3 linked regions of the Alligator mississippiensis genome follow. The protein of the gene in region 2 interacts with the protein of the main gene of each other region in a biochemical or structural test. Links are inferred from orthologs where the notes say so. Each region holds a gene or a part of one and is shown on either strand. Other genes may lie near its edges.

Evidence for each region.
Region 1: of the proteins of CASP7 (region 2) and PTGES3, one has a biochemical effect on the other in vitro, tested with the Homo sapiens proteins (2 studies listed by BioGRID and IntAct). The link is inferred for Alligator mississippiensis from reciprocal best matches to the Homo sapiens genes CASP7 and PTGES3.
Region 3: of the proteins of CASP7 (region 2) and PANX1, one has a biochemical effect on the other in vitro, tested with the Homo sapiens proteins (2 studies listed by IntAct). The link is inferred for Alligator mississippiensis from reciprocal best matches to the Homo sapiens genes CASP7 and PANX1.

Annotation. Positions count from the first base shown.
Region 1 is NC_081838.1:6,972,189-6,982,320, forward strand, and holds the start of PTGES3 (prostaglandin E synthase 3), read right to left. Parts: upstream 4,799-10,132; 5' UTR 4,768-4,798; coding exon 4,457-4,767; intron 1-4,456. Other genes in the region: NACA (nascent polypeptide-associated complex subunit alpha), read right to left, coding at 7,033-7,047, 7,471-7,593, 7,775-7,903, 8,102-8,248, 8,598-8,675, 8,852-8,937, 9,966-10,132. UniProt on the Homo sapiens protein: Cytosolic prostaglandin synthase that catalyzes the oxidoreduction of prostaglandin endoperoxide H2 (PGH2) to prostaglandin E2 (PGE2).
Region 2 is NC_081829.1:92,561,911-92,572,127, forward strand, and holds the start of CASP7 (caspase-7), read right to left. Parts: upstream 4,775-10,217; 5' UTR 4,747-4,774; intron 4,050-4,746; 5' UTR 3,989-4,049; intron 1,633-3,988; coding exon 1,520-1,632; intron 1-1,519. Other genes in the region: NRAP (nebulin-related-anchoring protein), read left to right, coding at 9,153-9,224, 9,747-9,841. UniProt on the Homo sapiens protein: Thiol protease involved in different programmed cell death processes, such as apoptosis, pyroptosis or granzyme-mediated programmed cell death, by proteolytically cleaving target proteins.
Region 3 is NC_081824.1:447,803,777-447,813,669, forward strand, and holds the start of PANX1 (pannexin-1), read right to left. Parts: upstream 4,081-9,893; 5' UTR 4,032-4,080; coding exon 3,851-4,031; intron 1-3,850. UniProt on the Homo sapiens protein: Ion channel involved in a variety of physiological functions such as blood pressure regulation, apoptotic cell clearance and oogenesis.

The sequences.
Region 1 (10,132 bases), on a different chromosome or scaffold from region 2:
CAACATCTTTGAATAGCATATATCAGAAACAGTGCAAATGGCAAGAAGTTTCCCTTTCCACTTATGCAAAAATTCAGTGCAAACCGCATAACACAAGAGCAGAAACTCCTTCACATGATATTCCCAGTTCCTCCCATGAGCCTTGCCTCCCTAGTTAGGGCTCACAGCCACAGAGCAGAGGACTCGGGTGAGCCCCCTCTGCTTCTACTCTGTTCTGGCCCAAACTTGGTACTCTGGATGCTTTGTGTCACTTCTCGTGCCACCAGGACACAAATGTTTCAGCTGCATGGAATGGGACATGGTTACGCAGAGAGGCTGTGTCAGAACAGAAGTCTCAGTGTCCCTGCTCTTCCTAAGGAAGAGAGTTTGCTGAATTCTATTGACATTTTGCAAGTACTGCATGTCAATGGAGATATCACCAGCCTTCTCTGAGTTATGTACGTTTCCTCAGCCAGGGCTGCTGGATATATTCCCTTGGCTTCTTTGCCAAGATTAACAGGCTTTTACAGGAACAAGGTCCCAACTGCACTATAATAGAGACCCTCTAAATCTGGGATTCACAGCCTTTATAGGCTCAAGGTACCCCTCGATAGGCTTTAGGCATGCCTTGGAAAGTGCCAGCTTCTAGTTTTCCCTCATCTTTTTTTTGTTCTTACTACAAAAAAAATAAAATAGAGCAATTCTTCAGTTGCAAAGAAGTCAGAAAGCTCACAACAGGTCAGGCCGTTTTTAATAATTAAGGTTCCTATTTGAAATCTCTGGGTGTGCCTTTTGGGGGTGCTGGCTGTAGCTGTGTTGGTCTGAGGCCATAGGGTTTTATCTTGCAAGCCATGCTTGCACACCTAATAGTGCTGCCGTTGTGTGGCATGCTGTGGCATCCTTGAAAGGAGTTCGTGGCACCCTGCTTGAGAGTCACCACTCTATGTCTTTGAAAGGATTTGCTCTAGACTTAAAAGGGGACAGCCCAATTCTAAGCTGTTCAGTGGAAGGGGAGGGCAGTAGCAGAAGGTAAAGCTTCAGAATTAAAATTTTAATTGTATACACTAAAAACCTCATCCTTGGAGGTTTTTAAGGCTAGGCTCGACAAAGCCCTGGCTGGAATGATCTAGTTGGGGCTGGCCCTGCTTGGAGCAGGGGTCTGGCCTAGATGTGACCTCCTGAGGTCTCTTTCAACCCTCATTTTTTATGATTATACAGTACATATTTGTCACCTTTCTAACCCAAGATTAGACAGTTAAACACTAAAGTAGGCTGCAATCCCCTAAAATACTTGCTGCAATCAGGTTAAATTCACCTTTTTCTTTTTTAAAGAAGCGCTGATGACCTTTTTAAGGACAATTAAGTTAAATCCTTCAAAACAGACTAAAGAAAAAAACCCTCAACCATTTAACAGAGACCTTAGTTTTTGGTTCTCTCATGAAGTGCTGCACTCCGTGATGCACAACAGGATGCTTCAACATGACTAGCAGAAGCTTCAGAGGAAGCAATGCAGTGCCATAACATATTTACATTACACGCCTGTATTTTAAGATTCCTGGAAGACGTGGACAGAGACCAGTAGTAAAATGCGCACGTTCACGTCAGATTGATTGAACACTTGTGCGGGAGGGTTATTCCACCACGCACACAAAGCTGTTATGCAGCACATTATCTACTTCCCCACTCGCAGCAAGGACCAGCCTCAGGACTTTTCAGTACTCCCAGCTGTATGCATTTATTATGCAGACCTATCATTTAACCCACCCCCCACCCCCAGCCTGACCCAGAGCATCTCACCAGAAATGTGCTCTGCTGCGAGAGGCAGGCAACACTAGCTGCTCTCATATTGCTTCAGATTTGCCAGGAAGGTGACTCGGGCCACAAGAGATGAGGTGCAGCCACCATGCTGGCTTTGTAAGAAGTCTAAAATACATTAGTTTTGTTCCAGTGCTCCACCCAAGGTGGTTTAATAATGCCACAAACCCTGCATGTCCCAAAACCAAACAGCCAGAAAGTCTTTCCAGCTTCATGCAACAGGCAGCCTGTCCTACCTAGGGTCCCCATGTTTCATGTTGGGCAGGGATGTTCTTTATCAGACAAACTCAAGCTTGGTGCTGACAGGACTGGATCAGAGCAGTTGCTTCTGGTTGCCTATGCTCTGAAATGAGAACTCAGCCTGACTGGCAAATTTACACACTCAACCTGAGCAAAGAGCGCGATGGTACTGCAGTGTGGCAAGCATCAGAACTCCTACTTTACCAAGTGACCTTTAATGATGTGATGCTGAATGCTGCTCCTGAAAGTTCAGCTGGCTGCTGCAGTTAGGCATTGTTTTTTAACTGTGCATTTAGCATAAAGATTGTACCAGTTTCCCCCACTTATGGGAGCCCTGCCAAGACAGCCAAGCCCGTGTCATGCCTGCTCTGGACTGCTGTGATGCACTCCACGTCAGTCTATAGATCACTGGAAGCTGCAGCAGTATAGAGAATAAGGGGAGCAAAGAAACGGGGCACGGGGTATATTAAACCAGGCCAGGGATTCAATGGTGGCACTCGCGTTTTGGAGAACTCGCTCCTAGATACAGCTCAAGGAGAGGCTATCAATCTGGAGATGCCCGCCTGGCCTAGCTGGTTCCCCAAATATTCCCTCCCTGCTCCATCTCCCAGCACAACTTGGACCAGCCATGCCTTTGTCCCTGCCCTAGTTTGGAAGTGAGCAGATATAATACAATAATGGCACTATATCAAGTTGCGATGGGATAAAAACCAACCCTGTTTTACTAGCTTTCTCATTACAATTAAATTTGGGTAGGAGAAATACAAAAAAAAAGTGATGCTGGATTAGTTGCACAGGAGTCATCGTCGGGGCAGAAGTTGGAACGAGTCAGCTAATCCAAGGAAGCTGACCAATCCCACACATTGAGTGGCCAGTCCCATGCCTGCTATTGGAGGCTGCTTCCTACCATCAAGTAAAAAGACCCATTAAATCATCACACGCAGTAACTGAAGCCATTTCCACCATGTGCTCAACTCCCACCCAGTTCACAAGGCACTGCAGGGTTTTTAAGGGCAACATTTGCCCTTATGAAATAACGCTTGACTCAGGGAAGTCGAGCAGCGTCCAATTCAGTGATCCTGCCACCGGTACGTCTAGAGAGTTAATACGTGCCCTGCTGTCGCTCCGTTATGAATGGCACACTTCAGTTTTGGGTCAGAGAAGCAACCGCAATAGACTCATAACGAAGCAGCTAATCAAGGCTCCCAAAGCCTGGCGAGAACCGTCCTGGCCAGGTCAGAGTCCCAAAACACCGGGTTGCTGCTGAGGGGCCTCTACGACGCAAGCACCAATTTGCCTAATCGGTGCTTCTCCGCTGGTGGGACTTGGCCACTGGCAATGCTGGGAGTCCTAAACGCAGTCCGCGAGCCTTTCACGTGTTCCCAGGGAGAACTGCTCCCGGCTTCAGCCCCCGCAGACTTGCCGGTGCAAACGCTCCCAAGGTTGCCGGCTCCCGGGGAGCCGCACCAGCATTACCAACTGCGGGGACATTTGGATGTCCCATTTCAGCGCAAGCAAGAGTCTTGGTCCTTAGTTTCTCCAGAATCAGGACAAGCTACTAATTCAATCCACACGCTCGTCACAACGCTACACGACTGAAGCTCGTCGTCACTGGCAGGCCAAGCCCGAGCGCAAGCTCTTCACGCGAGCAACCCCACGTACGCCTCCCCGGGCGGCACCGGGGACAGGCCGCGACTCATTGGAAACGATCCAGTTGCTTCAGGCGTGGAGCCGGTGTCCTTTGGACAACGGGAGCGCCTGAACCAGCGCCGCTTTCTGTGCTGAGCCACGTGCGTTTGGAGCCGACTCTTCTCCCCCCACCCGGGCGGCATCAAACAGGGGGCCTGAAACCACACTTGAAACGATGGGGGGGAGAATAAAACAAACCCTCCCACCCCCTTTGGACAGCTAATTGGGCATAGCAGCCTCCTCAAATCAGTTTGAAGCCCAGCGTAAAAAAAGCTAAGGCGGGTGGGCAGGCGGCTGCTGCCTGGAGCCACCCTCAGGTGTGGGGGGGGGCAGCCACCCCGGTGGGGGCTCCCTACGCCTACCAGCAACTTTCCACTCCTGGGGGTAGGGCCTTCCCCATCCTCTGGGGAGGGGACACCCCCCACCCCACGCACGTGGGGGGGCGGCCATCCATCCGTCCCATCCCCCCGCCCTAAACCGCCTGGCTCGGCCCCTCCCCTTTCTACATGGGGTGGGACACACACACACGTGTGGGGGGGGGGGCTCAAGGTCGCGCCGCTCGTCCCCGCCTCGGACCTCGTGCGAAGGCCGCCCCCGCCCCGCGCGGGGAGGAGGCCCAGGCCCGGCTCCCCACCGCCACAGGCCACGTTCCCGCGTGGGGCCGCCCCCCCCCACCCGCACGTGGCCCCTGAGGCCGCCCCTCTCCCCCCCGGGCGGGCGCGGCCCCCCTCACATGGCGCTGGCGGCGGTCGGGGCTCGGGGCCCGGCTCCGGGCGGGCGGGCAGGGCGCGGCGGCGGCGGCGGCTCCTCAGGGCTCGGGCTCGGGCTCGGCCTGGCCTGGCTCCCACAATACCCCGCGCGCGCTGGGGCAACGGCGGCTCGCGGCGCTGGTGACGCAGCAAAATACCCGCCGCGCGCCCGCCCTCCGCTCCCCGCCTCCCCTCGCGCGTGCGCGGCCTCCGGCGCCCCCCCCACCCTACTACGCCTGCGCCGCAACGGCCCGCGGCTCTTTCCACTCCTTTCTAGCAGCTTCTCGGCACGCATGCGCGGCACTGGGGGAAAGGACGAGAGGCGGCCGCGGTTGCCGCGGCAACGCTCCCCCTTCCTCCTTCCGGGCGCGGTGGAGGCTGGGAAATGGAGTCCCCTGGGCGTGGGCGGCTCTGCCGCCTTTGCAAGTAGGAGCAGGGCCGATGGAAGGGGGTGAAAGGGTGCACAGGCCCGGGGACAACAGCTGGGGATAGCCCCCTGCCCCCCTCCCTGGCGCCCCCAGGGCCAACTGTCTCCTGTAGGTACACCAGGGCACCAGCTAGGACTCCAGCCCCAGCCTGGTACATGGCCTGGAGTGCTAGGGCAACCTCCCTATTTGCTTTGGGCGTAGGACACTGGGTTGCTCAGAACCACCTTCCTCTGCTGCAGGTCCTGGTCTGTCCTGAGCTTCTGCATCTGTCTGTGTTGGAGTGGAGCTTCCCACTGCAGAGACCTTGCCAAAGAGCTGCTGCTGCGAGCGACGCGCTGCTCTGCGAGGCTCGTTCCTGCAGGAACCGCGAAGACAGCTGCCAGTAGAGATAGCGACGCATGCGGGCTGCACGGTTGCCTGCTCTTCCTCAGCAGACCATGAAGCAGCCTGAGTGTAGAACTACTCAGGATGTAGCACAGCCTGCCAGGGTCTTCCACACAGCCCATGGGTGCCCATCAAGCTCCTTGTTTTGCTCCCAGGCAGCAAAAGGAAAAGCCCCCCCGCCTCTGTTCTAGAACAGGACGTAGCAGAGCCCATTGTCCCTCCTCCGCGTTCTCCAACATTGCATCTTTTTCCAGGCAGTGAGCCTGTGCACAGATCCAGCCCTGTGGGCACCCAGCCAAATCAGGCTTCAGGCCGATCAGGGCAAAGGACCAGCAGGAAGACAACCGACTAACACCTGCTGACAAGAATCACCTCAAGCCCCCACCAAAGGGGTATGGGGAGCTCTCTTCTCTTCTCATTCCTCTGCTGCGGCCTACGAACGCAACCTCGTGTGCTCCAGGCCACTTGCAAACCTCGTTGCTCCCCTCTGGACCATCCTGCCCCTGCACCTCACACTTCACTTTCTTTCCCAAATGTTGCCACCACATCCATCTCGCTCGGCCTGGCTCCCCCCTCCTCCAAGGCTTCTTATAAGGGACTTGCTTCTCTACCGCCTCTTATTAAGCTGGTCAGACCACAACCACGTCTCATTTCAGCCCTCGTAGTTCTGTGGGCCACGAGAGCAAGGCTTGGGAAGGTAACAAGGGGCTTCCTGTGGCCTCCTGCCAACTTCATTTGAGGTTTCTGGCTGGCACTATGCTCTGCACTGGAGCTAATTGGGTTTAAGACAGCTCCTGTCTTCCATTTCAGGATACTTAAGACACTTTGTGGGGTAAAGCTGCACCCTTCTCCACCTCCTTTCTGAACCCTGAGGACTCTCCCCTGAACCACAGGCAACAGCTTTCTGGATAAGGCCAAGCTGGGACCCGCAGGCCTGGGGGAATGAGAGAGACAAGCGAAGAGCTGGGCTTTTCACTGCGCTGCACCGCCCCAACATGGCACGTTTAAAATGGCAGGACCTGTTTTACCGCATGTCCAAGCCTCGGGCAGCAGGGCTCCGTGGTGCCACTGCAATAGAAAGACGATACAGTGACAGCAAGTCCAGGCAAGGGCCACACCACAGCAGGTGACTCAGCAGGCTGCTGGCAGCAAACTCCGAGGAAACCTCCCAGCAAGACAGCATTCAGGGGGGAATTGTTTGTGTAATTACAGGGCCGCCGGCTCGTGTGGCATCTCAGTGTTTGCTGACGTCGTCCCCTGGGGTGAGCTCACGCGTTTCCGAGAGGATTTCCCATCCATACAACCCTGGCGTCTGGGTCTGGAGCGACGTGGAGAAAGCACGATGTGAAGGCTTGAGAGCCAGGAGGCAAAGGGGTCGGGTTTAAACCCCTCACGTATGGCAGCCCAGATTTCTAGGGACTTGGCCCCAGCTCTGAGTGACACTCCACAGACCTGCCTGCTGGGACGTCAAGTTGAAGACCAGTGTTCCCTGCTCAGGAAACACACCCAGGGGCTAATGCACGGGGGTCCTGCTGCCTCACAGAGGACGAAGGCAGGGGAACAAGGCGCATCTCGGCCCCCCACGGGCTCAGCTCCTCTGGGAAGTGCAGAGTTCAACCAAGAAAATAGGAGGGTTTCACCAACAAGAAGCCACAACGTTTATTCCTTGATAGAAATTGTACAAAGGTTAAATCTAGCTGTGATCGACTCTGCTTTGAAACACCAAAAAGGTTCCTCCCTTCCCACGGCTACATCGTCAACTCCTGCAGAAGGGGAGAGAAGGGGAGAGAGGGATCAGAGGCTGCCCCACGTGGGGCAGGGGGATTCCTGTGAAGGGGGCAGACAGTTCTGAGCTCTCTTGATTTGATATGGGGCAGTTAGCAGCCTGGCACCTCCCCCCACTGGCTCTCTGCCTGGCCACAAAGCCCAGAGGGGGCTGGGATGCCTGGAGCCGTCCTGTTTGCCCCATCCCTGCCAGGTGGTGAGGATGGAGAATGAGGAATGCCCGAGCAGGGCAGTGCCAGGCTGGCCCTACCGAGCAGAGGTGGGAAGGAGGCATGGGCTCTCAGAGGCATGGCCCACAGGGCTCCTGGCACCACTGTCCATGGCTGTATGTCCCGGGGGAAACCCGCTCCCTGCTGCTCTTCACTGCCCCACAATTGGTGCCTGGCCACAGGGACACTCACCATGATGGCATTTACGATGTCGTTGCTGTTGTTCTTGAGGGCGCGCACTGCCTTCGCCCGGGACACGTTGGCCTGCGACATGACGAGCTCAATGTCCTTCACCTCCACGCCAGTCTCGTCCACCTGAGCAGAGAGAAGCAGGGTTGGCTTGGGGGGCATCAGGCTGACACGGGGTTGGCCCCATGAAGACAGCATCGCTCAACCCAGGGTAGGGGCAGGGAGGGGGAATGGCACCCAAACAGGAGTAAGAGCCCCAGTTCTCAGCATGCTCTGCTAGACGCAAGGGCCAGCTGTGGGCACACACCTCCTCCTCCTCGCTCTCCTCCTGCACTGTGGGCGTCTGTGTGTTCTCCTGGATGTTTGACACGGCTTCTCCTTGCACCTTGAACTTCTCAGCGGCTGCCAGCTGTGCTTGCTGGGACAGATCCTCGATCTGGGGGAAGAGGCCGTGGTGCAGTGAAGCTGTTGGGGGGGCTCTGCGGGCATCCCCAGAGCCCGGCCACCACCCCGAGACAAGGTGCCAAGGAACACTCCTGCCTTGCCCACACCCACGGAAGAAAAGTCCCCGCCACTGCCACCACAACCCAGACATAGGTCAGTGAGAGACAGATGGCCCAGACCGCCCCCGCACCTTGGCCTCCCCGAAGACAATGTAAGTGTCTGACGCGGGGCTCTTGTACACGTCTGGCTTTGTGATGACGAAGAGGATGTTCTTAGATTTCCGGATGGTGACCCTGGTTACTCCTGTGACCTGGCGAAGGCCCAGCTTGGACATTGCCTAGAGAGCGAAGGGAGCAGGGAAGTATCGGGCTGGGGCTCATCGTGTCCCAAAGGGCTGGCACAGCCTCAGCACTGGACTGCTATAGAACCACGGTCAGAGATGGGGGGGTGAAGAGGGAAAGTAGAGGCCAGGTTTGGGCCTCCGTTTTACCATGGGACCCTGGGCTGACTCAGTGTGCTCTAGCTTCTCCCACAGACAGGGAAACTCAGAGCTGTGGGGGGTCACGAGCGCCCTTGAGTCAGGCTGAGGCAGGGCTGAGGCTGGGCCTGACTTCCTGCTGCCAGGCTCTCCCAGGCTGCCTGTAGGGGGACCGCACAGCTTGGACCACGTCAGCTCCTCCTCATACCTTCCGTGCCTTCTTTTCGCTCCGGCTCTGTTTTGCTTTGCTGACGGGTTCTTCATCTATTTCGGCGGCTGCTGCAAGCTGCAGGAACACAGGCAAGAGGACCATCAGACAGCAGTGGGGGTAGGCCAGTTGCTCCCATTGCTGGAGAGCTGCCCATGAAGCCCAGGGCTTATATCATGCCATCCACATCTTTCCCAGGTTTGCGCCCATCCCCAGTGCGGTAGGACCCTCCTCCCGTCTGGTGGGACCCTCACCTGTGCCTGCTGTGTTGTGGCCTGTGTGGAGTCCTGCTCCTCGAGCTCTGGGACGGATTCGTCGCTGTCGGACTCTGTGCCAGACCCTGGGGAGAGAAAATGGGTGTCAGGTTTCCCAGCACGGAGCGAGGGGCAGGCAGGCCCAGACAGAACAGCCAGACCTGCTCAGGCTGGGCCCCCACCGTGGTGCTGTGAATGTTGGATCTGTGGTGCTGGGTGCCCAGTTTGTTCTCCAGGCCCAGTGGATTACAAAGGCTGTGCCTTTCTCAGGACCCAGCTCGAGCCCTGACAACACAGTGCCATGTGCCAGACGCCAGCGTGAAGGTGGCTCCGGTCCCACCAGGGAGTAGGCCAGCGTAGCTCATGGGAACCAGATCCGATTCTCTTGGAGCCCGGCCTCTTGCTGGCTCCATTGGTGAGGTCAAACCCCCTTCGGGCAAGATGGCTCTGGGTCCTGTAAGCCAGTAGCTGTGCCAGGCCCTGAAGTCCCAGGACTCAGGCTCTGCCAGGGGTGAAGCTGGCACAAATCTCCCTGTGAGCAAGGCAGCAGCTTGGTGGCCCTGTGCTGGCACCACCATAGTCTAGATACAGCCACAAACAGGTAGACTGGCATGTGCCCTCAGCCTGCAGGGCACGCTCGAGTGGCAGCTGCAACCCCCCACCCCCCCGAAAGGCAGGGAAGTGGATGGATGTGGCTGACACAGAGGGAAGCCAAAGCAGTGAGCACCTGCCTCATGGGCAGCTCCAGTGTCTGCATCCTACCCTGACCTCTGAAGGCCTTGGAGTGACCCTGCAGCCCCAGATGCAGAGGCAGGTGGGCTAGGGAGGGATGGGTTAGACACGCAGCAGACGCTGGCAAAGCAGCTGCCTGGGGCTCAAACCGGGTGACTGGGAAACAGAGCTGAACTCCCCCGCCCCCCAAGCTGTGTGCATGTGTGTGGGAGCCCTGTTAGTGACACGCAACACCATGCAGCACCCGCAGCCTGCCTGCCCACCCTGGCCCAGGCAGGCTGTGGGGATACCACCCTCTAGACTACCAAGCCGGGTTGTGGGTTAGTGCACAGCGGGTGGCTGGGGACACTCCATGCGCACAGCACACCCAGGCAACAAATACCCTTGTCATTCTTCAGCACAGGCGGCTTGGCCAGAGCCGGGGCCGCAGGAGGAGGAGCGGGGACATCGGCCGGGGCTGCGGCCGCTCTGGGAGAGGAGAGGTCCACCAGGACGGGCTGCAGGGGCGGCTCGTCAGCGGGCCCCTCCGGGGGGATCAGGGGCGGCAGC
Region 2 (10,217 bases):
ACAGCCCTGCTCTCTGGGTAAGGTAACGTTTCCCCAGATGTTCCCAAAATACAAATGCCTGGCACACTGGGCAGTTACGCTGCTTGAAGCATTTCTCAGCACATAAAGACATTGATTCTTGTCTTCCACTAAAAGTGATAAACTGCAAGTAGCAAAATAATGGAACGAGACTATTTCCCCATAGAGAGGAACAATTTTGCTTTTTAAACACAAGTTGCATTAATTTCAAAATATGTCCTTAAAAACTGCTGCTCAGGTTTTGGAGGCAGAATGTCACATCCTCTGCTTGTATCTGCTAGCACTGCAGGTTGTGGGTATAATCTTAAACAGGAATATTTACATTTTTTTTAGAAGTGCACCAATGGGAATACTTGACATTTCTATGACACCCTCCACAACAGCTTTCCATTGCTTTCCATTAATTAAGCCTCATAAAACACTTCTTTAAGAAAAGCAGCAGGAAAAGTTTGAAGCTACTTGCTGAACGTCAACTCTGCAACTCTGCTGCAAGAATACTTAGCTCTTCTGACTCCTAGGTAAGGGTTTTAAACCTTATACACTCTGTGCATTAACACATTCTTCATAATTACAATGTAAATAAAAAGCCAAACGCCTTCCCTTTGCTTGGTCAGGGCTAGGCCATTCACTTCAAGGTTGTATAGTGCAGAGGACATAAATTATAAAAGCCCTTTTTAAGAAAAACACTAGCACCAAGAAACCCTCAGCACAAAATAGTCTTTCTCTCACTTTAAGGGCCGTTAGAAGTTCCAGATGGCTATTTTCCCAAAAGAAAAGGTCTAACATAACACAGACGATACTTCCTACTTCCTATGAAGTTATGGTAAGTAAAATGATGCTTCAGTGGGGATTGCACTCCTTAAAATTAAGGTAAAAATGATTCTGCAGCTCCCAAGAAGATTAAGTTCTTGGGTAACAGGCTACCTCCTTGGCCCTGGTGAAACTTTTTGGAGGGAGATGGGTGTAGGATGTCCTAAGTAGCCTGTTGGGGATTCTCATGATGCAGAATATCCAAACTCAGTGCAGTGAAAACAGTGCATTCAATTCCCAGTTGCTACCCCCATTTAAGAGCCATGTGAGAAGCAAGAACCAGGCTGAAGTTCAATGTACTTAGGTAACTTCTGACTTTCAAAAAAGCCTTAGGATGGTTATTATTAATAAAATCTGAAACTAGCCAACTAGGATTCCTTCTCATTTTCACTTTGAATCGAGGCAGTAAAGGGAAGGAACATCATGCAGCACAGTCTGCATTTCTCCTTGCAGTATAATCAATTACTGTCTAGATAGAAAAATGCTTTGCTGGGGTGCAGAGGATGAGTATGTCTAGTCAAAGGTAGCACTTTTGCATTTATCTTTCCAGACATTTTATCAGGTTTTTTTACTAGATTTACTATGTTTGCCTCCAGCAACACTTGATGTCCTCCAAAGTACAGAAGAACTGGACACAGTCCACTTCAAGCAGGCTTGCCAATTGAATGGACTTGAGAAAAACATTGCTTACTTTCCAAAGATGTGCAATCTCTCACTTCTGTCTGGCCTTGCATCCACTGTATCATCCAGCTCTTCAGCCTCCATGTTCAACTGAGGCCCGTCAGCATACAGCTTTTCTGCCATCTACACAAACAAATTCAAACAGAACTCGAATGTAAGTAAGTGTCCTTCAGGGACTGCTATTACTGTTGGAACCTGTCTATAAAAAGAAACCTAATAAAAAACACCAATCATTAAACCAAATATATTTTCTAATAAAATTATTAAGCCAGTTACACTGTGAAATATTGTACGATTTTTGGATCTTCCAATCTGATACTGTGTATACTCAGTTATCCCCGTTACATTTTTTTGTAGTTATTAAAAGATGACTTACACCAGGGGCACTGAACCCCCAGCTGTGGGCCAAATCTGGCCCTGTGTCATCCATCCCGGGGGGCTCCCCATACGCCTGGAAATTTGGTGGTGGGAGAGGAGTGGCACCACTGCCAAATTCCTGGACCCATGGGGAGCCCTGGGCTCTGCACTGGATCCAGCACCCAATTCCAGCATGCAGGGCTGGGTGGGGTAGCACCAGGCCCAGGGCCCCATCCCAGCACACAAGGGACTAAGAGGGTGCAGCTCCAGGCCCCAAGCCCGGTATGGAAAGCTAAGAGGGGGCAACACCAGGCCCCTGGGACTCAATCCCAGTGTGCTGGGGCACAGTTGGGTGGGGGTAGGCCCCTGGGGACAAATCCCAGCGATCAGGGCAGGGACAGGGTGGTGTCGGGCATCCCAGGGCCGATCCAGGCTGCAGAGTGGTCCCTCCCCACTCATCTGGCCCACAGGACCGAAAATTTGAGCACTGCTGACTTAGATGGAAGGGTGGGATATAAAACGAGTCAATAAAATCTGTCCACAAACTGCAACTAGGTTTAAAAAATAAAAAAATGATGGCAAAATGCCTGACAGCATGTTTTTAAGATGTTTTCTGTGGATTGAAAACAAATATGTTTGCAAAGAAGCAGGAAACACTTGGAAATTAGACACCAACTTATTTGTTATTTGTGTAGCTATAACCCAAATTGAAAACATCCAGAAAACTCAGAAAGAAATGCCCTCAAATTCTCGCACGGAGGCACATGTACACAGGCAAACTCAACTGTCTGTATACAGAAAAATTCTGAAAACTGTTTTTATAGAGATAGACTCAATTTTAATTTTCTTTACTTTTCCCATCACATTATGCATCTTATATTTTCCTAACGTTGAGGTTTTATTTTTATTTAAAAAAACCAGAAAACCATATTTTTCTTTCATTAAAAAGCACATTACTCAAAGACATCATAGCAGTCTTTTATGTCAATTGATATATTTGAGTCAAAGCCTGTTTTAAGATGTGTATGCTGAGAATACCTTTCCTAAGGTCAGTGGAGAGGTTTCCATTGCACACTAGAAAACACACTCTTTACTAGGTTAAAAGCTTATTTCTATTTTAAGTATTAGCCAGCAGACTACTTGTTGCTCATTCACATACTTAAGATCCATTCCTGAAAATGCTTGCTCATGCAGGCAATCCTTACTTCACGTCATCCTATTGAACTCAACTGATAACAGATACACAAATACACTTTTATTGCTGATGCATCATCAGGACTGTGGAAACCAGACCCAGAGAGCATTAATCTGAATATCACTGTCCTTTCAGCCTGTAATTGGAAAAGTAAGGTAAGGGAACCCCGCCCTCCCAGTTGTTTCCAGTCTCAGCAGGTTTTAATTTGACTTCAACAGAAAAAGCAATGGTATGTGATGGTCTGGGGTAAATCTAGTCTTGTTTAAAATAACTCAGTAATCTGGAAAGAACATGGATTTGCAAAATTGGCAGATTACATCAGATTTAGGTAAAAGAAGGAAGAACTTCAGCAGGACATGAAGTCCCATATTGCACTCCCATGCTAAGGAGGGAATAGATTGAAATATCTATGCACACGCAGGAAAGCAACACCTGGGTGTTGTTATCGCTCAACAAAAATAACTGAAGAGCATGCAGCAACCAGCTAAATGGCAACTAGGCGCACATTCACTCCACGCCACTACGGTGTGAGCAGCGCTAACCGAGATGTGCCGTGCTGTGCACGTTTCCTCCCCAACCCTCGGAGAACTACACAACGCCAACTTTGTCCCTTGTGATTGGACGCACAGGGCATGTCCCCTCCCAAGCACTGCGCTGGAGAGCCCTGCAAGTCCTTAAACCAGGCAGGACAGGTTCTTTGCGGAGACATGATCTCTCTTATTAGACCAGCTGAGTAGTTGGAGAAAAGTTTTGAGCAAGCTTTTGGGTGCAGTCACCCTTTGTCAGGCATAGGGAGCCTCTGCTGGTCTGAGACTCCAAGGAGCGAAAGAAGCTAAAAGTGTGGCAGGCTGTAGGAACGAGGAAGAAATGGGTAGAATAGGTAGAAAACAAGGCAAAGCGCGGAGATGAACTGTTCAGTATACGCACAGGGAGCACCCAGTTTCCTCGCTGTTCCCTTCAGAAATCGCTGCGTGGCGTTTTTCTGCTCCTGCACAGATAAGAGTTTTAATCAGAACGTGGCTCGATGCCACGTCCTCAAAGCTTTGCTGCAAACGTGTCCCCAAAGCCCAGTCCTTAAACCAGGGGCGGGCAATTATTTTGGGCCGCTTACTGAGTTTTACCAAGCCGTCGAGGGCCGCAAGACAGCCGGCCCGCCCGCCCGCCTGCCCGCAGCAGATTAATGTTAATTTTCTAAATTGTTTAGGGGCCCCGCGGGGCTGGCAGGCCACATCCAGCCCCCGGGGTTTATTTTGCCCACCCCTGCCTTAAACCCGCTGAGAAACTGCAAAAAAAAAAAAAAAAAAAATTAATCTTTTTTGCAATTTCCCCGTCGGTGTAATAAAACGTATCCTCTCTAAACCAAGATTTTTAGGGGTCTCACCCCTAAAACTAACCACCCTTTCTACACGGCGGCGCCCCTGGCTACATGCAAAGCGCCAGCTCGTTTTCGGATGAGGGAAGAATCCCAGGGGTGGGTTTCTCTTGCAAAGATGGGAACACTTGTCCCTAAATTCCCACCCCAAAGTAATAAGGAGCAGGGCTGCTGCCAAGGCCTGAGCAGCGCAGAGCGGAGCGGAGCAGCGCAGCGGCGCGGGCGGCCCGGGGGGTGTGGGTGTGGGTGTGGAGGCAGGGGAGGCAGGGGGGATGGATGCAGAGGGGCCGGAGGGGCCGCGCCCGACACTTGCCTGCGTCCCGCGCCCGCTGCAGGGAAAGAGAAAGCGAAACTGGCCCCGGCTGCCCGCCCCGTCCGGTCCCGTCCCGCCCCCGCGCAAGCAAAGCCCGCCCTGGCTTGCCTCGAGGGGAGGCAGGCTCCGTGCCCTTCCCGGGCACTTGCACCTGGAGCTGATGTTGAAGCAAAGGGCGAGCAAGCAAAGCCCTCCCGGGGTCAGGCACCTGGCATTCATGCCTAGTGTCTGTGTTGAAGCAAGGGCAAGAGGCAGGCACTGTTTCCATCCCTGATATTCATGCCTAGGGGTTAGGTTGAAGCCAAGGGCGAGAGAAGCCCTCCCTGGGCTGCCCCTTATGGAGACAGACACCCTTTCCATCCGAGGCATTCATGCCTAGGCCTCATGTTGAAGCAAAGGGTGAGAAAAGCCCTCCCTGGGTTGCCCCTTAGGGAGACAGACACCCTTTCCATCCCTGGCATTTGTGCCTAGGGTTCATGTTGGAGCAAAGGGTAAGAAAAACCCTCCCTGGGTCACCCCTTAGGGAGACAGGCACCCTTTCCATCCCTGGCACCCTTTTCATCCCTGGCATTTGTGCCTAGGCCTCATGTTGAAGTGAAGGGCAAGCAAAGCCTTCTCTGGGTCGCCCCTTAGGGAGACAGGCACCCTTTTCATCCCTGGCATTTGTGCCTAGGGCTCATGTAGAAGCAAAGGGTAAGAAAAGCCCTCCCTGGGTCGCCCCTTAGGGAGACAGGCACCCTTTTCATCCCTGGCACCATTTCCATTCCTGGCATTTGCACCTAGGGCTAATGTTGAAGCAAAGGGCGAGAGAAGCCCTCCCTGGCTCACCCCTCGGGAAGACAGGCCCTTAGCACACAGCTTTAGACCCCCCCCTCCCCAAAACCGAGGGGTGCTGAGGTACGCGCCGCTGAGGGACCAGACCAGGGCTCCGGGATGCCCGTCAGCAGGCACAAAATGAGGGGATGCCTTCCCAGGGATCTGTGTGGTTTGCTCGGAGCTGTGGAGGTTTCCTACCAACCTCGCCCTGCCTTTATTCACTGTGGCCGTCACTCGCTGGGAACTCGCAGCCTCCGAGTGCTGCGGGTCACTTGCCAGGCAGTTCGGTGAGGGCAGAGTCCTGCTGGGGATGTTGGGGTGGGGTGTTCACTCCCATTGAAAATGTGGTAGAAACCTTGCCTTTGGGGGTTAATTGCACACGTTGATTGTGCACGGTAACCCCCAGGTCTTTTTCTGCAGAGCTGTTGCCCAGCCAGTCACCCCCAGCCTGCCCCGGTGCATGAGATTGTTCTGTCCTAAGTGCAGGGTTTTGTACTTGTCCTTTTTGAATTTCCTGAGATTTCTTTTGGTCCAATCCCCCAATTTGTCTAGGTCTCTGAATCTTAACACTACCCTGCAGCATATCTACTATTCCCACCCCCAGCTTGGTGTCATCAGTGAACTTGCTGAGGGTGCACACCAACCCATCTTCCAGATAGTTGATGAAGGTACTGAACAAAACTGGCTCTAGGACTGACCCCTGGGGCACTCTGCTTGATACTGGCTGCTAACTAGACATCAATGGATTACTACCCTTTGATTCCAATGAGTCACCCAGTTTTCTATCCATCTTACAGGCCGCTCATCCAACCCGGACTTCCTTAGCTTATTTGTGAGACTGTTGTAGGAGAGGAGACTGTATCAAAAGCCTTGCTAAAGTCAAGGTATATCACATCCACTACTCTCCCCATGCCCAGAGAGCCAGTCATCTCATCCTAGAAGGCAGATCAGGCATGACTCGCCCTTGGTGAATCCATGCTGACTGTTCCTAATCACCTTCTTCTCCTCCAAGTGCTTAAAAATTGATTCCTTGACAACCTTCTTCATAATTTTTCCAGGGACTGAGGTGAGGCCAACCAGTCTGTAATCCCCTGGATCCTCCTTCTTCCCTATCTTAAAAATGGGAACTATATTTGCCCTTTTGCAATCATCAATTGCCATGAGTTTTCCAAGATAATGGCCAGTGGCTCTGCAATCACATTGGCCAACTCCCTCAGCACGCTCAGGTGCATCATGTCCAGCCCCATGGACTTGTACACATCCAGCTTTTCTAAATAGTCCCTAGTCTGTTCTTTTGCCACTGTCAGCTGCTCACCTCCTCCCCAAAGTGTGCTGCCCAATACAGTAATCTGGGAGTGGACTCTGCCTGCGAAGACAGGTAAAAAAGGCATTGAGCACTTCAGCCTTTTCAGGAGTTTTTAAGGAGCAATCTCCTGTTTTCCCTAATGAAAAAGGGCAACTTACTGACAATACGGACGTGATAGTGTCTATGCTTTTGCATGCTCTGCATGGATTTTAGGACAGCAACAGTCCATTGCGGGGGTTCTGTGGGATCAGTTGTTAGGATCACTTGTGCAGGCTTTATGTCCCTCCATTAATTTTTAAACATATTCTTTTAGCTTTTAGTGCACGGTCAGTGAGACTGCAAGAGCCTGTGGCTCTGGCTAATTTGTCCATGCCTCGTTTTGCATTCTTCGTTTTTCCAGGATTTTTTAACTTAATGCATTGTAGCTGGTAATACTCGGGCAGGGTGAGGGTATCCTATTTGAATACCCATGCATTCTGCAAGCAGCAATAATTCAGTTGTTGCCCAAAAAAGACATTTTCCATATTAAATGAAACACAACTTTATTGTCCTTACAGTGCAACCAGAACGAATAGTGCCTCAAATCCATACATTGACAATATTTGGGACACTGAGAACGGGGTCATTGAGTGGGGTTAACATGGAGGGAAAAGGGAGATAAAACTTCAGACCTCGGTTGGTGAGAAGGGTTGTGGCGAGCAGCTTCCCCTCTTTTTGGCTGCTTGGCAATGTTGGGTGCTGGATTAGCATTGGAGCAACCTAGTATGAGGTTTGAGAGACTGAAGGAGCTGGGTCTTCACAGGGAGGAGGGAAGGGGGTCTGTGGGGTCCCAGTATGAGGAGGTCTCCATGGGATGGGACTAGCAAACCCTGTGGCTGCTGTGCATGCTGTGGGCTGCCAAAGGAGAGAGCAGGTCGAAGGCAAGTGACACCTTTGCCAGAGCAGACTCTCCTACAATGTATGCCTACTCATAATGTCTATGAGTTGTTGCTGTCCTACCACGTCCATCTGTATTATCCGCTCTGTGCGGCCAGCATCTTCTAAGTTTCCCCTGACCCACGTGAACTCCATTCTCCTCCAGCTTCTTATTTAATTAGTTACCACAGTGCGCTCTTGGCGGCTTTGCTCTTTTCCTTCTCCCACCTGTCTTTCTCCTTTTCTTGCCTCAGAAATGTGTGCCATTCCTGAACAACCCTGTGACACTTCACAGAGGCATCCCCAAGCTCCTCCAACATCTTCTTGGTCTCTTCTTTACTCACAAGCTGAGCAGACCTTGGGGAGGGTAGTGGATAATGCTGGTGTGCCTGCGGGGGTAGATCTTACAGCTGGTGATGCTGTGGGTCCCTGGGAGCTGGCAGGTTGACTGCCTTGCCGTGCAGGGGCTGGGCGGCACACATGGTTTTTAGATATCCCAGGGTCCCTGCGCACCTGGATCTTCCAACATTGTGTGCGCAGCCCAGCTGCACATGCTTTTCTTTTTAGATGTCCACTGAGACTGGGATCCTTTCCCAGGGTCCTGGCCATGTTTTGCAGCTGCCAGGTGAAGGTGGGGGGGACTTGATTTACTCCCCCTGTCCAGCAGTTGCAAACCCATGCCTTGGGTCCTGCTAGCAGTGGCATCATTGGGATCCAGTCTCTGATCTGGCACATGTGGCATGTTAGGAGGTGCGATTGCTTGGGTCAGGGATCAGCTCCCCTTGCACCATTACGTGAACGTCTGCCAGCTCACTCTGAGTTACAATGTCTTCCTTGGGCTCCAGCTACTATAAACAGGAATATACATAAGACACAAATTAGCCCCCAGTGAAGTCATTCATTGTACATGGGGGAGACTAGCTACTACTTTGATAAGCTGCTGCTGATGATGTGGCCTGTATCTTTATCTCCATCCTGGGGTTATGACGACTAATCTGAAACATCGAACTTCAATACTGAATGACCAGATTCTGTCATTCACATAGACATGATTTGTTTCTGTGACTTCACTCCTCTATTTAGAGAAAGATGTTGCTAACACCTCCCCTTCTGTATGTACTTACACAGTTGCTAAAATAATCCCTCTTAGTAACGGGCATCTTTAAAAGCCAGCTAGCAGCTGACTTTGAAACAGAAGGTCAACCAAAGGAGCAGAGACTTTGCTTCAGAAGTTTAATGAGAGCAATTGATCATAGAAAAGGGGCTTTACAGAACTATCTGGAGTGTTACAAACAGGCCAAAAAGTCGTCATCATCTTTTGAAGCTTTTGTGTGTATAGATATATACTCTTTGCTCTGTTGGTTTCAAGATGAATGTTCAGCCGTGTGCTAGATGTGGCTTTGGGGTTTACCCTGCTGAGAAGATTAACTGTATAGATCAGGTCAGTACACACACTCTCTCTTGATCATTTTGGAGTTTAATAGATATATGCAAAGTTACTTACTAATATATGGTTTGATCATGCTCCTGCTGGAGTTGCAGACTGAACTCCTAACCGTATACATTCTTTATTCATGGTGGCTATCGGAGTGAAGGTAAGCTTGGTTATGAGTGTTTTGGGGAAGATAATTAAAAATGACGAGGTTACAAACTTGCAAAGATAGTAATTTATCTTACTATTAAATTACCTACTATTATCTTACTATTTTTTTATCTTGCTATTTTTTAAATTCTTTTAAATTACTTACTATTATTTTACTATCTTACTATTAAATTACTTACTATTATCTTACTATCTTACTAAAGATAGTAATTTAGTGTCCATTTAATGCATGCCATTTATGCAGTGGTAAATGGCTATTTATGAAATGGACAGAGGGGTCAATGCTGAGGTTTAAATATTGCTGGAATAATAAGGACATATGAGACACTTTCACTATCTTTTAATCTTTTCTATTCCTAGACATGGCACAAAGCCTGTTTTCATTGTGAAATCTGCAAAATGAAGCTAACAGTAAATAACTTTGTTAGCCACCAGAAGAAGCCTTACTGTCAAGCGTAAGTGTACTTACTTTAAAAAAAAAATCATAATGGCTTAAAACTTGAATTACCATAATTTTAATTGAAGATCAGCACTGGGCAGCCAACTGGTCTTCAGCTGTTCTATGGAACTGGGTTAACTCCGTTGACTTCAGCAGAATTGCTCTGGATTTACATATATGGCAGAGATCAGAATCTAGCCATATATATAAAATTCCCCTATTTAAGTCTTAAAAGATACCATTGTAAGTGCCATTGGAAATATTTTGGAACGTTGCCTGTTGTAACTGTAAGCAGTGATTTCCATATCAGTGGTTAAGAATTAATAAGGTATGAATGCACTTAGTAACCAGAAAAATACGTAAAATGCAAATTTTTGGAGTTACATTTTTCA
Region 3 (9,893 bases), on a different chromosome or scaffold from region 2:
GAAGGGCCAAATTCAGACTCTTCCTCTCTCTGACAGGGAATCAAACCCCCAGCTCCCATGCCTGGAGGTGATAGGATATTCTTAGAAGGACACTTTCCATACCTCCTGCTGTGCAGCTGTGACACTGGGCAGCAAAGCATGCACAATTCAGTGGCCCTAGAGGGAGAGCATAAAACAGAGAACTACATAGCCTAATTGTCAGGATACTTGCTGGGGGGATAGGGGGAAGGGAAGAGAAGGGCTGGGGTGAACAATTCCCAGGACTGTAGTTTATCCAATTACTTGAATAAAATAATACATGAAAGAGTCCTGGGGCATAGGTCAGAACCTAGGTCTGTACTCTGCTTGTTCCCCTCCCACACCCATGAACAATGGTCTCTATTACGCAGCGTCTGTGGCCCAGTGAATCTTATTCTATTTGTTGCACAGGGACATAGAAATGAGGTGGAAAATGACCTCTCCCCACATACACACAGCCTGTATCATAGTGTTTAGGACACTCTCCTGGGAACTGTGGATCTGAATCCTCTTAGGGCAGGGGCGGGCAGTTATTTCAGGCAGAGGGCCGCTCACTGAGTTTTGGCAAGCCATCAAGGGCTGCATGACAGGCAGCCAGGGGCAGATAAATATTAATTTTCTAACATTTTTAGGGGCCCCATGGGCTGGATAGAATGGCCTGGCAGGCCACATTTTGCCTACCTCTACCTTAGGGAGAAGTTGTCTTATACCCAGGTCTCTTATTTCCTGGGTGAGTGATCTGGCCACTAAACTATTATATAAAGGCAGAAGTAGCTCCCTGCCATCCCTCACATTTTCAAACAGTAAGTCTACTCAGTTCTTTGAAAGAAAGGACATGGGTGCCTATCTTAGTCAGGGATGATTCAGCCTTGAGCAAGGGGCTGGAGTAGATGACCTCATAAGATCCCCTCTAGCCCCATTTTCCTAAGATCTTATGTGATTGGTTGGTCCCAAATAGACACAGGTGCCTCCCTCTTACCCCAAGTAAGACATCTGAGGGTTGAGATTTTGGATTCCCCCCATTCTCAGCGTTTCCTTATTGTCTACCTGTAGCCATCAGAGCAGTGGGATGCTGCCTTTAGGCAGCTCCCCACTCAGTTGGCTACCTGTTTTTGACCTAATTCTAAGATGCCCGATTCTCCCCCCATCCTGAATAGGGAGCCTAAAACACCTAACAGAGAAGCCAGGAACCTAGAGCTCTTATACATATGTGGGGAGGCTGCTTCAACGTGCTGTAATTATGATTAATTGAGTCTGCTGGACCGTGGTAATTACCACGGTCCAGGAGACTCTAGCATCACATGCATTTCTCTAGCAGACTCTAGCATCACAAGTATCTCTGCACTGAAAGGTCTGTTCAAAAAGCTTTAGCTCAAAGCGTTCCACCGCCATTTTTCAGTGTGGGGACACTGATACACATGATGCTCCTGGCGCTTTAATTAGCATGGCTCTTGGAGCTGCACATCTATAAATGCCCCTCGATACTAGGTGATCCAAGACACAAATTTGAGACACCTAAAATCTGGCTCAGAACACTTACTACAGCAAGTGGGACTAGTCCCATCAATAAGTTTACATGTTTGCCAGATCAGGCCTTAAAACTATTACCAGTTAAGTCACAAATTTTCTAATTTACAGCTTAAGTTCAGATAAGATTGTGACTTGCCTTGGGAGGGCTAGTGGTGGAGGTTGCAGAGGGGACCATGCCACCCACCCAAAGGCCAGTTATAGTCCCTGCAGTTGTAAGACTGCACGGACTGAGCTCTCTGTGCACACTCAGGCAGGGATATCTTTCCAAAGGAAGGGGCGGTAGGAGAGAGCAAACAGGCCATGCCTCAAGCTCAGGGATGGATGGTCTCCCCCATGGTACAGTCTTGATTTCCCGCTGGGGTACTACAGTTAAAAGTATCTACCCCCTCTTTGGGACTGTATCATAAAGGCTCCATTCAAATACTGCAGATCACTTCTGGAGTCTGTAGAACACTGTCATGCCACAAAATTAATCACAGCCAACCATACATCCGTAGCATCAAACTTTGAAAAGAAAGGGGGTGGGAGGGCTTTTACAATCCATGGAACAGAATCTGGGAACCCCCGTCATAAACCATGAGTAACTTACATGTCCTTTGCCCTTTAATCTTGTGTGTGCATGACCATTTTTCTGGGACTGAGAAAAGCAACGTGACATTTGAGAAATCAATGGCAAAGACATTTGACCTCTATAATCACGTTTAGGAGAATGCTGCTGTTAATAACAGACAATCAGAGCAGGGAGAGAAAAAGCATGAAAAAAGATAGATCAGTAGCTGGGATGTCAGCATGGGCTTAAGAGATGAGACCCCCATTTCACCTCTGAGTTCTCCTTCTGACCTTGGGTAAGTCACTGGGTCACTCTGTGTCTTGGTTCCCCACATACACAATTGGGATAAAAGCCCTTCGTCACCTGCAGTCTCTCAGCATAAACATGCTACAGACTGTAAGGTTCTCAGATACTCGAAGGGCCATAAACATGCCAAAGGTAACAGCACGTAAAATAAAGCACTTCCGATATACTGTAATGTCAAAGTCCAGCAAAGAACACACGTAAACATAACAATCAAACATTTTTTCCCCTCCAAATGTAACATCATTTAATGGCGGAATGGAAAGAGAACGATGGAGCAGAGACGGCCAGGGCTTTGCCTGGATTGCTATACAAGAACAGCCATTTACTGGGTCAGCCCATGGGTCCATCTTGCCCGCTTGCCCGTCACATGGGGCAGAGAGTGGATGCTGGAAGAGAGAGTGAACTAGATCTGACCAGGGCTCTTCCACCCCATCCCCGCTGTTCATCTCTGGTTTGCAGCCTCCAGCATTTAAGGGCTAGGAAGTCCTGTTTCAGAGGCTGTGCCCTGCACTCCAGTGCTCATCAGCTCCTCATTTTCCTTTCCTCCAAGAGTGTGTCCCATTCCTTTTTGAATTCGCCAGCTAAAGTATCAGCTCCCACAACTCCTGGTGACGAGTTCACACTTTAGTTACACGCTGGGTGAAAGAGAACCTCCTTTGGTTCGTTACGTGTATACACGTGCTCCCGAAGTGGGAGAGGGGGGTGCTTTGATTAGAGCAGCTCTAATTAAAACGCCCGGAGCGTCTCATGTATTGGGCTTAAAAATGTTGGTTGAGGGACTTTATGTAAAGCTCATCAAACGAGCTTGAGATAAAGCACCCCCACTGCCATTTTTACGTGTGGGGATGCTGATACACGAGATGCTGGAGGCTGCTATCAGACTCAATTGACTGAGTCTGCCCCGACGCTGCCACTGGAGCGTATCAGAGCACCCTTGCTGCTCGTGTATCAGCGCCCTTAGCTCTAGTCTTGCCAGAGTCCATAATCAATCCCCGCTGACTTTCTCTTCGCCGTCTGGGATTCAGCAACCCACTCTCCTGCCCCGCCACAAGCATCTCTCCTGCACTGACCGCACCTCGCCTCCTCCCGGAGCCCCTCGCTGCCCTTCTCCGGACCCGCTCCTAGGTCCTTTCTGCGGCGCTGACCACCTCCAGAGCAGACCATGGCTAAGAGGGGCGCGGCGGTACTTCCACAGCCTCCCAGAAAAGCCCCCTCCCTAACGCGCTCGCCAAGTAAACACGAAGCAAGCTTCTCCAACATGAAGTCTGAGAGCCACCAGTCTATAGGGGGCAAATCCACCCTGCCTCCTGCCTGGCTTCAGACTCCCGGGGGCTTAAGAGACCTCAACCCGCCCTAATGCAACGTGACTCCGTGGCTAGAAGCAAAGGGGAAGCGAGGGGCCGGGGCCGATGCAGACACAACAGCGGGCGGGCCGGGCCGCGTTACCGATGGAGATCTCCTGCGCGAAGGCGAGCGAGATGAGCAGCAGCGGCAGCCCCACGGCGATGCACGTGACGATCTTGTCCAGCGCCAGCTCCAGCCGCAGCCCCTTGTAGCGGCTCTCGGCCGGCTCCTTCAGCAGGAAGTCGGAGAAGACATACTCGGTGGCGAGGTGCGCTATGGCCATGGCCCGCCGCTTCCCTCCACTGCTCTGCGGCGGCGCCCGGCGGCTCGACTCGGCTCGGCTCGGCGCGCCCCGCCCCGCCCCGCCCCGGCTGCAGCGCCCTCCCCTGCCCGCCGGCGGGGCCGCCTCCCGCCGCCAAGGAGCCGAGGTACCGGGTTGCAGCCGCCCGCGCGCCCGCCCGGCCTCCGAGTCGCGTCCTGCAACGCTGGAGGCTGCGAGCCCCCCGGGCTCTCTCCCCTCTGCCCGCCCTCCCCCCCCGACACCAGCGCACGGATCTGGGCGCTGGCCCAGTAACTGGCCACTTGGGGTGTTTTCAGGAGGGCTCCGCTGCTCTTCTGCCTGCAGGTGCGGTGCCCTGAGTGTCTGGGCTGCCGCTGCCAGTCCCCATGGCTTCAGTCCGCTCCGAGAAAGCTGGCGTGTGAGGACCGTGCAGGCCCAGGCGGTATCACTGCAGCCTGTGAAGCTGCATCTTGGCTACCCCAGATTAATGCCAGGGAGGGTATGTGTGCCCACACTCACTGGCAATGTGAAGTGGGTGCACGTGCACCCTCTGCAAAAAGGCGTTGCCGGCAGCACCTGTGGGCAGTCGCCACTCGCCACCCCCACCCTTGCTGCTTACGCCGCTGGCAGTGTATGTGGGCAGTCTGCGAGGACTGCTGGCCACTGCCGACGCTATCCGCAGGCAGTCACGGACCACCAGTCAGCGTCCATCACTGACACCGCCGCGGCTGCCTGCGGGAGCTCCCCCTCGCCACCTCACGTTCCTGCCGCCAACAGCATGGCTGCCACCTGTGGGAGCTCACCATGACCCCTCATGTCCATGCTACAGTCGCACTTTGGGTGGGACTGTATAAACCCAGAGGTTTATACACTTTGGGTGGCGGTATAAACACAGAGGTATTAGCCCTGGTAGTCTGAAGTCAGGCAGGAAGCAGGTTAGATTTGCATCCTATAGACCAGTGGTTCTCAAACTTTTTTTTTTGGTGGACCACTTGAAAATGGCTGAGGGTCTCGCAGACCACTTAATAAACTTTTTAATCGAAGCACACAACTCCTATTTTCCTTTCTGCAGATTACCTAAATGGAGCTCACAGACCAGTGGTGGGCCACGGACCACTGTTTGCGAACCTCTGCTGCAGACCAATGATTCTCCACCAGGAGGTCAGGGGTCCTGGGGTAGCATGAGATCTTCTGAAGGGTGCATTGAGGTGTGAGGAGATAAGTACAGGCTCAGGCTTGCCTCCGTGGCTGCTGCCTGCACCCTTTGCCAGGAGCCCCTGCCGTGGATGCAAATAAATTAGGTTTTGAAGTGGCGTGCTGCTCAATTCACAGGCAGTATGGAGATGCCTCGAGTCAAAAAAGGTTGAGACACACTGTTGTAGATTAACTAAATCAGAGATGCATAGCATAAGCTTTCATAAGCAGTGGGTTTACTTCATGAGATGCATTTTCAGCAGAGATAGGAAAGTATCTGTTACCATACAAAGCACTGGTGAGACCTCTCATGGAAGGCTGCATACAATTCTGGTCACCCTGTTCAAGAAAGATGAATTCAGACAGAAAAATCAGGAGACTAATGTCTGTTTTACAAAAGACGACAAAAAAACCTGCTGCTTTGTTCAAGTAAAATAAAGGTGGGGCGGGAGGGGGGGGTGTATGTTTGCTTCCTATAAATACATTATGGGGAGTAAATGCCAGGGAGAGATGTAAGCCAAAGAACAAACAAAGGTTACCAGAGATGTATAGCATAAGCTTTTGTTAAACAGATGGCTTTACTTCATCAGGTGAAGCACTGAATGAGGTAAAGTGATCTGTTTAACACAAGCTTATGCTATGCATTTCTGGTTTCGTCAGCCTGTAAGGTGCAAATCTACCCTGCCTCCATATCCTGCCTGTAACTGTGGGATAACTGTTTATTTGTACAGGGGAAAAATGGAAAATTCCTCCATCTAAACCAGGGGCAGGCAAAATACAGCCCGCGGGCCATATCCAGCCCATCAGGCAATTCCATCCAGCCTGTGGGGACCTTCCGTAAGCCTGGCCCTGGGCTGCCCCTCTGCAAGCTAGCACCTCCACGCAAGAGATGTGGCTCTGGTTGCTAAATAACCACCCCCCAACCCAGCCTGGCCTGGCCCATGCCAGCCCCAAGGTGTCAGTCCCATAGTTGTTTCCCAGCCTTCCTCCTTCAAGTGGGAATTCAGGTAAGGGCCCTACCGGGCCAGGGGCCAGAGACACCCACTGAGGGGGAAAGGGGACAGGAGTACGGGGAGCTGCATGCTATGGGGCCAGGCTGGGCTGGCATTGCATGCTGCAGGAGGGCTGGAGTTTGCACTGTGGGGCTGGCCCTGCCTGCTGCCACTATGTGCACCCAGGGACTCCGGATGGAGCTGTGCATTATGGAGCGGGGTGGGACTGGCCCCGCATGCTGCTCTTCCGTGCAGCCAGGGACTTGAGCAGGAGCGCTATGGGGCTGGGTGCGGCTGGCCCCACATGTGCTGCCATGTGTAGCCAGGGACTCAGGCAGGAGCTGCGTGCTATGGGGCTGGGCATGTCTGGCCCTGCTTGCTGACACTTGTGGCGCAAGAGACTTGCTCACACCAGGGACTCTGAGGACCTACCCCCACACACACTCCACCTGACCCCACATACACCCAAATCCATCCTCCCACAGCCCCCACACACCCCACACCCCACCATACTCCCACACACCCCAGTTCTCCACCCTCCCCCACACACACCCATGCACACACAGTTTAGGAACCACTGGATTACAGATACTCTTGTGCATGGTGGTGGGCAAAGCCAGGTGACTGAAAGGTCCCTGAGCCTGAGCAGGCAGTCAGGGAAGCTGACTGCAGAGAAGCAGTACCCAGGGAAAAAAGGCCATCCATAAGGGTGAGACAAGTTTAGCTCTAGGAGAGGATGGATAAAAATCAACAATTAAAAAAAATGTAAAATGGAGTTTATTTTATTTAAATCACATTTTTTTATTTAATCATATTTTTGTGATTTTTGTTGTTGTTAACATGCTATATAAAGATAGTTTTAATTTAAGATATGTTAAAGCTCAAAGATATCATGGAATAGGGATTACAACTTCTAATTATATATCATTTGAGACAATATATTCATGTAACTTGTTTAGAAAAGTTTTATAAATAGGTTGCAACAGGACTATATTAGGAGCCTGGTCTTATGGATCTATAGATTAGTAAAGATTAAAGAAAACCACTCTACCCAATGGGACTCAGTGCTCAGTCTAGAAGATCCCATTAAGCACCTCTGTGATGCTTAGTTTCTGTTCTCAAACTGTGGATTTGTGTCTCCAGAGCTAACATCCTAGTTGACAGCAGTATATGGGAATCAGAGCTGGGGGGCAGCAAAGGCACCAGTCACAGGGCTCAAGTGCCTATACACTAACGCTAAGAGCATGGGGAGCAAGCAGGATGAACTAGCACTCCTGCTTGCAGAAAACACCTATGACTTAGTAGGGCTAACAGAAACCTGGTGGGATTCTTCCCACGACTGGGTGGTACATATTGAGGGTTATAAACTGTACAGAAAGGACAGGGTGGGGAAGAAAGGGGGAAGGGTTGCGCTCTATGTCAATGAGCAATATACATCGACCCTTATCAAGACGGAATCGAAGGAGGAGAAAGTAGAAGGATTGTGGGTTAGGTTACATGGGGGTCAAGGAGAAAGGGATTTGGTGGTAGGGGTCTGCTACAGACCCCCACACCAAGGGGAAGAGCTAGATATGGGGCTCCTGAGGCAGCTCTTGGAGACCATAAAAACTAAGGAGGCGGTAGTCATAGGGGACCCAACTACCCAGACATCTGCTGGGAGATGCAGACAGCAAAGTCCCACCGTTCATGCAGGTTCCTATCCTGTGTACAGGACCTCCACCTGACGCAGGAAGTACATGGTCCCACTAGGGGGAATGCCTTACTGGACCTGGTATTGGCAACGGGGGATGACATGGTAGGGGACCTACAGATCGGTGGTCACCTGGGGGACAGTGATCACCAAATAATAGAATTCATCATAAGGCATCGAGTGGGTAAGGTAACAAGTAGGGTGAAAGTGCTAGACTTTAGGAAAGTTGATTTCAATGAACTCAGGCGATTAGTCAAGGATGCACTGCAGAGTAGGAGTTTTGAAGAGATGGGAGCCCAGGAAGGGTGGCTGTGCCTTAAGGAAATGATCCTTCGGGCACAGAGGGAGACGATCCTGATGCAGGGAAACAGAGGAAAGGGGCCAGAAAGCTTCCCTGGCTGACCAGAGAAATCCAGAGCAGCCTACGGGCTAAAAGGGGAGCATATAAAAAGTGGAAACGGGGAGAGATTACCAAAGAGGAGTATACATCCTCTGCTTGCGCTTGTAGGGAGGCAGTTAGACAGGCCAAAGCTACCATGGAGCTGAAGATGGCATCCCAAGTTAAGGATAACAAGAAATTGTTTTTCAGCTATATAGGGAGTTAAAGGAAGGCCCAGGGAGGAATAGGACCCCTACTAAATGGGCATAAGCAATTGGTGACAGACAGGGGGGACAAGGCTGAACTCCTCAATGAGTTCTTTGCCTCAGTGTTCCTAAGCGAGGGGCAAGACAAGGCTCTCACTGGGGTTGTAGAGAGGCAGCAGCAAGGCACCAGACTACCATGCGTAGACCCTGAGATGGTGCAGAGTCACTTGGAGGAACTGGATGTGTTTAAGTCGGCAGGCCCAGATGAGCTCCATCCAAGGGTACTGAAGGCACTGGCTGACGTCATTGCGCAGCCACTGGCGGGAATATTTGAGCACTTGTGGCGCGCGGGCCAGGTCTCGGAGGACTGGAAAAGGGCCAACGTGGTCACCATTTCAAGAAGGGGAGGAAGGAGGACCCAGGCAACTATAGGCCATTCAGTCTCACCTCCATCCTTGGCAAAGTCTTTGAAAAAATTATCAAGGTTCACATTTGCGAGAGCCCAGCAGGAAAAATTATGCTGAGGGGAAACCAGCACGGGTTCATAGCAGGTAGATCATGCCTGACTAATCTAGTCTCTTTTTATGACCAGGTTACAAAATGCCCAGACACAATAGTAGGGGTGGATGTCGTATACTTAGACTTCAGGAAGACCTTTGATATGGTATCCCACCCCATACTGGTGAACAAGTTAAGAGGCTGTGACTTGGATGACTACACAGTCCGGTGGGTGGCGAATTGGCTAGAGGGTCGTACCCAGAGAGTCATAGTGGATGGGTTGGTATCGACCTGGAAGGGTGTGGGCAGTGGAGTCCCGCAGGGCTCAGTCCTAGGACCGATACTCTTCAATGTCTTCATCAGCGACTTGGACGAGGGAGTGAAGTGTACTCTGTCCAAGTTTGCGGATGACACAAAAATGTGGGGAGAAGTAGACATGCTGGAGGGCAGGGAACAACTACAAGCAGACCTGGACAGGTTGGACAAATGGGCAGAAAACAACAGAATGCAATTCAACAAGGAGAAATGCAAGCTGCTGTACCTAGGGAGGAAAAATGTCCAGCATACCTACTGCCTAGGAAATGACCTGCTTGGTGGAATGGAAGCGGAAAGGGATCTTGGAGTCCTAGTGGACTCCAAGATGAACATGAGTCGTCAGTGTGACGAAGCCATCAGAAAAGCTAATGGCACTTTATCGTGCATCAGCAGATGCATGACGAACAGAACCAAGAAGGTGATACTTCCCCTCTATCGGGCGCTGGTCAGACCGCAGTTGGAGTACTGCATGCAGTTTTGGGCGCCACACTTCAAGAGGGATGTGGATAACCTGGAGAGGGTCCAGAGAAGGGCCACTCGAATGGTTAGGGGCTTGCAGGCCAAGCCCTATGAGGAGAGACTGGGGCACCT